Linked DNA regions of Kluyveromyces lactis. The protein of the gene in region 3 purifies or fractionates together with the protein of the main gene of each other region. This does not show direct contact. Links are inferred from orthologs where the notes say so. Each region holds a gene or a part of one and is shown on either strand. Other genes may lie near its edges. The genes, in order: FUS3, STE18 and GPA1.

Region 1 (3,265 bases), on a different chromosome or scaffold from region 3:
CATCTATTTCGTTGACGTCCATTAGCGATTTACGAATCTGTGTTCCAAGGGATATTTGTTCAAACTTATCAGTGCTATCATCTTCCAATCTCCAGAGATTTGCGGCAGAATTTTCATTGAACCGATCTGATAATGTCAAGATAAATAGATGATTATCGGAAATGAACGTTGATGCTGGAGACAAATCCTGTAATTGTTCGGCAAACGGACTCAAACTCTTAAAATTAACATCGGTGATATACAACTTACTGGAAACATCTCCGAAAGGGGATAGTACGGTACTCTCCTGACAGATTACCTTGTCTTTTAATTTGTACAGTTTTGATTTTGATGATTTCTGTACGAATGAACAAAACATGTTTAAAGGGTTTGAATCATCATTACTTTTAGAACCAGAGCTGGCCAATTTGAAATTGTTACCATCTTTGGAATAAAACGAAATCTGCCTTAAGGTAAATTTACCATCCAGTTTACCTAGTTCATAGATATTGATAATTCTTGCATTCTTATTTGTGGGATGTGACTCGATTTCAACGTTGATAATCGGTTTACGATTTTCATCGCCGACGTTCGAATAATCAGAGAAGTCTATCTTATGATTATCTGCGTCTAGGAAAGTTAACTGTTTCCAAGATTTCCCTTTATCACCGGTAGCTAAAACGCCGTTTTCACCACTCAAATATGCAACATCTGCTTTATAAATCCGATCTAGTACCAAGTGATTCCATTCCTGAGGTTTGTTATCAGACGAAAGGGGCAATCCCACCGAATCCCAAGTAACACCATTATCCTCACTTCTATAAAGCTCAACACCACGAAGAAGTTTAAGAACTACTCTCGAATCATCAAATCCGAGGATAGACAAGCGGCCATGCGTGTCTACATCCGAATGGAACGATACCTTGGGTTTAAAATCCTGAGCCAAAACGGGCAGAAAGTTCCAAAGCCCCAGCCAAATAAGGATATTCCACCAAAACATGAGACAAAGACGTTAAAAGTACTGCAAGCAATGTAAAAGGGTTTCGTTTATATCGGTAATTGAGTATATACATGAAACACAAGCTAACTACCGCTAAGACCAAAATTACAACGAACTGTTGAACAATGGTTCAAAAGACAATCTGTACGATATATTCTATTTTTTCCTCCTAGCAATTTTGATAATACCAATTCTGAGCATTTGAAAGTTGGTAAAAGGGAAGAAGGAAAAAAAAGGACGCGTCACGTGAATGTGAACATAATTAAGAACCTTAATTTTTCCCTAAACTGTTGCAGCTTGTTTCACATTATCTCTGAAGAAATTAGTCTCGTTTCAAGATGAAACGGCCGTACTTAAGGGAATATGGGGAATGTCGCGTTCATGAATTACAAACAATTAAAGTGAAAACTTCGATGGTTTGAGGTTTTGAGGCGATTTAGTGAGAAACAAGAAGACTTAAGATATTACATATATATATATCATACCTAAAAGTGGGTAAATATGGATAAATTCTCAGGCAAGAAGGGGTGGACAAATTTTTGCTCTGGTTTTATTCATCCAGAGAACCAGAGATAGATAGTGTGACAATGGGCAAGAGGATAGTATTTAACATAAGCTCTGAGTTTCAACTACAGTCGCTTCTCGGTGAGGGTGCTTACGGAGTGGTATGTTCAGCGAAGCACAAACCCAGTGGAGAAATAGTTGCTATCAAAAAGATCGAACCTTTTGAGAAACCCCTATTTTCTATTAGAACATTAAGAGAGATCAAGATATTGAAGCATTTCCAACACGAAAACATAATCAGCATATTTGACGTGCAAAAACCATCATCTTTCGAACAGTTTAACGAGGTGTACATAATTCAAGAGTTGATGCAGACGGACTTGCATAGAGTGATCGTGACGCAGGAACTAAGTGAGGATCATGTGCAGTATTTTGTATACCAAACTTTAAGGGCGCTTAAAGTGCTGCATGGAAGTAATGTGATCCATCGAGATTTAAAACCAAGTAATTTGTTGTTAAACAGCAACTGCGATTTGAAAATCTGTGATTTTGGTTTGGCAAGAATTGTATCTGAAAGAGCAACAGATGGCGATGCCCATGTTGACGCTGATGACACGGATGATAACTCCCCTTCATCGGCGGCTAATGACGGTGACCCGGCAATTTCGGGAATGACAGAGTATGTGGCAACCCGATGGTACCGAGCACCGGAAGTAATGTTAACAGCTGCACAGTACTCCAAGTCCATGGACGTATGGTCATGCGGATGCATTCTTGCCGAGCTCTTGGGGAAACAACCGTTGTTCCCCGGGAAAGATTACAGAGATCAGTTGATCCTGATATTTCAGACTTTAGGGACACCCACGGAACAAGAATTGGTGGAGCTAGTAGAAAATAGACGTGCACGTGAGTACATTCGCTCGTTACCTAAGCATCCCAAGATCAATTGGCGGCGTAGGTTCCCGAATGCATCTGCAGCCGCTCTTGATCTCCTTGACCGGATGCTGCAATTCGATCCGAGGCTACGGATCACTGCCACGGAAGCGCTATCACATCCATACTTGGTCTCGTACCATGACCCGGACGACGAGCCCGAAGGAACTCCGATTCCTTCGTCATTCTTTCAATTTGACCAATGGAAGTCGCGGCTAAATACAAAGGATTTGAAGCGGCTGTTATGGAACGAAATCGTGTCATGAGACACACCATCCAAAAACAAACGAATGACTAAGTAACCACTAGCGTATTATATCATTTTCTTGTGTAGAGGTCTCCAAAATGAACAAAGAACACCATCAGATAAACATAATGCGGTTTTGTGCTTTGGAAAGGAAAAAAAGAAATTGAGACGAAAAGATCCCATTTCGGAGCCGCCGTTCTGCGATTATCTTAAATGCGATTTTTTCTTGTTTGTTTTAGGGGCCCCCTCGTTGCAGGGAAGGTCAAACCAAGAAAAACAAATTACACGCACTAGGAAATCTGTGAACGAAAATGCAAAAAATCCATTGATCCGGACTTTAACACGCATGACTCTTTCCTTCACTATGGTATGCTCTTCAGTCATACATTGCCACATGCAGTAATTCTTACGACCCGATACGATTCCTTCCCCTCTCTATCCTTGCAAACTTAGTAAACTGAGTAAGCTGCACCATTAATGTTTCGGGATGTCCGAGCTATTGTGTGATTCGAGTAGCGCACAGCAGTTAGACGCGATTTTTTTTTTCTAACGCGCTGCATTACTTCGCTTAGTATATCCAGCCATTTTTTGTTGTTTTGGTT
Region 2 (2,161 bases), on a different chromosome or scaffold from region 3:
TTTTAACCTCTGAGGCTTCCAAACCATTCGTTATCCCATCTCTTTCACCAGTTTCTGAGCCATCTTCAAGAAAGAACTCTACTTCTTCTGACAAGCATGAATCTCTGCTATAGGTATCGTGATTTAAGGGTTTGTTTTTGAAAAGTGAGAATAATCACTCAATCATCCACACAACCATACAATAAATATATCATACCCCATGCATTTTACAAGATTAAACTGGTTTTAATTTTCTGATAGTGGAATTTTTGACTATCAACCCTGCTTACGTTCACTACTTGTAACGAACACCTATCTTTTTTCAATAATATATTATACTACCATATATTATTATATTTCTCTCACTCTATATTATATGCATTTTACCAATTCAATATCATTTTTCCTGTTATAATATTAATATTTACTATTAGTTTCATGAATTCGACTTTAACATTAGACCTATATACAGATTTAGAAAAAAAACAGTTAAAACGAATGATATGTACTCACATTATGTAGTATTCTTATGGGTAGAATTCCTTGTACTTCTTGTAGTAGTACCAAGTACCCAGACCACCAAGAACAGTCAACACCACTGGCACTGGTTTCTTGAATCTGCCTGGGATACCTCTGGCGATACCGGTGACTAGCATCACACTGGACGCACCTAATGCGATTTCTAACCCGTTGTCAGCATTGTTCTTCAAAAGGTATCCAGCGTACCCGTAAATACCACCGAAGGTCAACCCGGCAACCAACGATGGAACACTTCCCTTACGGATGTAACCCATGGTACCACCAATGGTGGCTAGAGCAGCTAAAGCAAAACTTGGATGGTCCATTGTAATTGTTATCTTTGTGAATATTAGATGAACTCTGTCGGTGAGAACTAGACTGGGTTGTGCTATATAAATTGTGAGGTGTATTTAGTTTGAACATGTCTATCATGATGATGGTCATTGCATTTGTAATTTTGTTTTCACTTTTATCTCTGAATTTCATACAGGGAAAGCAAAGAAAAGGGATTGGATCGGGGTTCGACAGTCACGTGACTAAAAAAGGTCTCCTTTCCCAGGCGCTGGACAGCGTCAGTATGAGTTTTTTTTATGGCCAAAACCTCATTAGATACTGATTTGAGGTTTCAAGATGAACCACAACCAGACAAATATTGACTGAGATACTGGAGGTTCTCATGCCAGCGGGAAATTTAGTACAGGATTGCTAAAAGAAAACGTTGTTTCAGTCAAGGGTTTTATGTATATAAAGGTTTGTAATTGGTAGTTTTAACGCTTGGTACAACTGTTTTGCAGAAAAACTCGGTGCAGTGATAAGAGTGAGTAAAGATAAGCTCTCTTCCTTGGTGTAGTTTTCGAGTTTGTATTTGTGTACCACTGATGGGAGAGTTACCATATAAGATCCAGGAATTGAAATTGAGAAGAATCGAAGAATTGAATAATAAATTAAGAAATGAGCTAGCAAGGGAAAGAATGACTGCGTCAAATGCTTGTTTGTCCATAATCGACTATACCTCAACCCATAAGGATTACGCTGTTCCAGAAGTATGGGGTTACCCAATGGTTGGTGAAAACCCATATAATAATACTATGAGGAAGAACAATTTTGCTAGATCTCACGAGGAAACGAGTGCCTGTTGTACCATAATGTGATGATAAAAATATTGCTGCCGTATACTCTCTATGCTTATTAGTTACATATATATTTAGATAAAACGAAATGCGAATGCAACAATATTAGATCTTATTCTTTCAATTGACACATACGGAGGGTAAACGATTCCCTCACTTCATCCCAATTGTTTCTCCTCTTTGTTCAACGTTACTTTGTTCATTTTCAAAGATGGATCGATATTACCGTTCTCGTCAGTGCATCCACAGTCGTAATCTTCTAAGATTGTGTTACAATCGTACCTTGGTTTTTCAAGATGATCGTTCACTAGATTATGAATATGACAGCCCCATAAAGCAGCAGTGGTTCTACTGGCTACTTGTGGTGGGTATTTCTTCAACATCTTGACGAAATGGTAAGAACATTCGCCACATGGATATAACTCCGCATATAGGTAAAGAAATTCACGTAGTTTCGTTTTCTCTTGCTCTGTAGGCTCGTCGGGAAATCTGGCTAAAAGAGTGTGGAAATATTTCCATGAAGCCCGCCCCAA
Region 3 (3,106 bases):
CGGGTAACGGACGGCAGCGACGTCCACTGGAGGTAGACGCTGATCGGCGGGTAATGTGGCAACACGTTCTGCAGCTTGTGACTCGGTCATTGTTCGAGACGCCTTCGGTGTTCCCTTGAAAGTAGATATCATCGCATCGATCTTTGCATGGTCTAGGACCGGCTGAATGGGCCGTATGATCTGGCTCAATGGGATGTTCTTTTCCTTGCACAAACTCGTCTGCATAGACATTCTCTGTAATGGTATGTTGGGTGTGTATGTTTTTTTATGGCTCTTGATTAACGGTTATATCCTGCAAGTATCTATATATTGTCAGTACAGTAGAACTTCGTCAAGCAAGGGTACTTATGTGTCTTGTTGAAGTTCTTAAATAGTAGACTTGCTTGCTATCTTTCGTTACCCGGAAACACCCTGTTTTTTTGCCTTTTCACTTTTAACCTGGCCTTTGTGATGGGGTCTGACAAATATTTGAGGTTACCCTCTAAAAGATCTAGAACCTTATTCATCGCTTAACTATGTACAACTTATATGTAATGTGTGCGCGTTACCTGACATATTACACCTAAAGGATTTATAAGATGCCGCTCTTTTTTAGGTTTTGTTGAATTACTAAATCTGTCACGGCACCTAGAACGAATCTCATTGATTGTGTATCGGTTGCACAAGTTCGATGTACGTAGATGGGCTTGTTACTTCTGTTCAAGCTTAAGAATAATGATTCGAAATATTTCAGTCCAGTCTCGCTATCACCCAGTTTCCCTGGATAATTGGGGAACCATGTTCTGATTGGAGATCTCTTCACCTTTTCTTGGAAAATATCTACTTTGTTTAAGAATAGTATGAAAGGTGTGTTGGCAAACCATCTAGAATTCAATAGTGTATCTAATAATACTATCGATTCGTGCATACGGTTCACCCTTTCATCTTCGAATAACATTTGATCATATTCACTAATTGCTATTACAAATACCACAGCAGTAATACCTTCGAAACAATGGATCCATTTTCTTCTCTCGCTTCGTTGTCCCCCAGCATCGTAAACTTTGAACGTGCTTGGTCCAATCTTGAAACTGTTTTCGGTGATCCCAGTGGTCTTAATTCTTCCTTTCAAAATGTCCATGTCATCACAAACATAATCAACTCGAGCGAATTTTTCAATGTTATCAAAATAATACGATGCAGATCCTTCCAATTGAAATTCACTTGACCTATTGAAACATTGTCTGATCCCCTTGTCCTGCGTCCAAAGCTTTTTGATTGCATAGGCAATTTCTTCGTTGGTACTTTGGTCTATACGTTTCAACTCTGAAGTCTCCGAGGAACCAGTATAACTTGTCCCGGCTAATTTTTCACTCAAGAAAGCGTCTGTCTCATCCTCTTCTTCAGGATCAGCACCATTTGATTCCTTGAATCCAAGCGTGGTTTGCCTCTTCTTCTTAGATCCTATGCCATTATATTTCAACACATACTCGTTTAGGAACTCTGAACCACCCGCCATTCTGGCATCAATCTGGTCCAATGTGTTAGCACGGAAGATCTTCTCTTTGCATTGGTGTAATTCCGTATTCACCAATTGCCCCGAATGTGCATTTTTCAAATCACTATCCAATTCGATGCCCAACTTGCCTGCTTGTAAGATTAGCGTTCTCATCGACTCAATTGCATCTGCCCAGATGACTTGTCCATATTGCATTCGTTCTCTATGGGTAAATCCGCCTTGGTGTAGGAGTTTCATTTGTTTCAACACTGTTGATTTACCGCTTTCTCCTGCTCCTAATAGAAGGAGCTTCACCTCATTCTTATTCTTATTCCTTTCCTGCTGTAAATTTTGCTCAATGAGATCATTTGCCCTTTTATTTTGAATGAAGGGATCATCCTCGTTCTCATAGTTTCCTGTACTTGCGACGCAACCCATAATGCTTAATTTCTTGCCGGCCAGCGTCAGTTTCTTTCATTTGTTTCATTTTCCTTTATAGTTCACGTTTTCGCCGTAGTTGGCACGATGTGGCCAATCCGTCTATATATATGTTAATATTAAAAGGTAACGTAGCAATATTTACTTTACATTCCTGATTTAGCATTGCATAGCCTTTATCATAGGAACCTCAAAACATGATGAAGCTTTGAGTCAAGAACCTCAACTCAGATACCCTAGAAATCTCACAGAGACGACAACTAAAATCAAGCTCAATTGGAAAATAAAACAAGCAAGTAAAAAACAAACAAGCACTTGACACTGTTTAAGGGTTTGCTTCCTTTTAAAAAACATTCCTAGCAACGTCCCTGTTTCAGATTTAGGTTGAAGTCGCTCTGCAGGTAATTACTGCACCACAATATGTTAACGGTGGCTGCAAGATCGATTGCTATGTACAACGGAGAGCTGTCTCCATCTGGAGGTCAAGTCACGTGAGAAACAAGGATGTTTGTCGCACATTCGGGTAATGAAATGTCATCTCCCGTGGATATCAATTTCATTCTGAAACTTCATCAATTTGATATCAATTGAAAAGAAATGAATGAAATGGAAAAGTATGCAGAACATGCGAATACAGGAAAGCTTATTCATGCGCATTTCATCAGGATAGGCTTGAACGCAATAGTTCGAAATATAGAAGCAACATCGTTGGCGGCTTAAAGGGGATTCGCGACTGTTTAGAAGCTAACTGTGGAGTGCAAAAGAATGCCAGAACAGCCTAAGTGTCCTGTGGATGACTCCACGAAGGAAGTGTGGTTGAAACAACAGAGCACTAATAATAAGAATGAATCAGCAAAAGCACTACCTCCAAATCATCCACCGGCTAGTTCTGAAGGGTCAGGAGTTTGTCCGGTAGACCATTCTTCCCAGGATGTATGGCTGAAAAACCATCTACAGACCGTTAATGGCTCTGCTGGCGGTGCTGCAGTTGCAGCAGCACCAGCACCAATCATATCGATCATCACTGAGGATGTCGAATGTTCAAGTGATGAGATACCTGAACACCCGAAATATACCACAGCTGTTAATTTGCCAACAGAGAGAGAGAAATCCTCCATTCCTAGAACCGGAACATCGGATAATTGGGTTTATCCATCAGAGAAGCAATTCTTCGAGGCAATGAAGAGAAAA

Evidence for each region.
Region 1: the proteins of GPA1 (region 3) and FUS3 purify together in Saccharomyces cerevisiae (affinity purification with western blotting; 3 studies listed by BioGRID). This does not show direct contact. The link is inferred for Kluyveromyces lactis from reciprocal best matches to the Saccharomyces cerevisiae genes GPA1 and FUS3.
Region 2: the proteins of GPA1 (region 3) and STE18 purify together in Saccharomyces cerevisiae (affinity purification with western blotting; 3 studies listed by BioGRID, with this or other methods). This does not show direct contact. The link is inferred for Kluyveromyces lactis from reciprocal best matches to the Saccharomyces cerevisiae genes GPA1 and STE18.

Annotation. Positions count from the first base shown.
Region 1 is NC_006041.1:928,423-931,687, forward strand, and holds FUS3 (mitogen-activated serine/threonine-protein kinase FUS3), read left to right. Parts: upstream 1-1,566; coding exon 1,567-2,682; downstream 2,683-3,265. Other genes in the region: PEP1 (type I sorting receptor), read right to left, coding at 1-979. UniProt on the Saccharomyces cerevisiae protein: Together with closely related KSS1, FUS3 is the final kinase in the signal transduction cascade regulating activation/repression of the mating and filamentation pathways, induced by pheromone and nitrogen/carbon limitation, respectively.
Region 2 is NC_006041.1:557,357-559,517, reverse strand, and holds STE18 (Ste18p), read left to right. Parts: upstream 1-1,376; coding exon 1,377-1,649; downstream 1,650-2,161. Other genes in the region: TMH11 (Tmh11p), read right to left, coding at 507-824; ERV2 (flavin-linked sulfhydryl oxidase), read right to left, coding at 1,787-2,161. UniProt on the Saccharomyces cerevisiae protein: Implicated in the pheromone A- and alpha-factor response pathway. The beta and gamma chains of the putative yeast mating response pathway G protein play a positive role in initiation of the mating response.
Region 3 is NC_006042.1:2,405,406-2,408,511, reverse strand, and holds GPA1 (guanine nucleotide-binding protein subunit alpha), read right to left. Parts: upstream 1,916-3,106; coding exon 572-1,915; downstream 1-571. Other genes in the region: SRX1 (sulfiredoxin), read right to left, coding at 1-231; cytochrome c1 heme lyase CYT2, read left to right, coding at 2,681-3,106. UniProt on the Saccharomyces cerevisiae protein: Alpha subunit of the heterotrimeric guanine nucleotide-binding protein (G protein) that mediates mating pheromone signal transduction.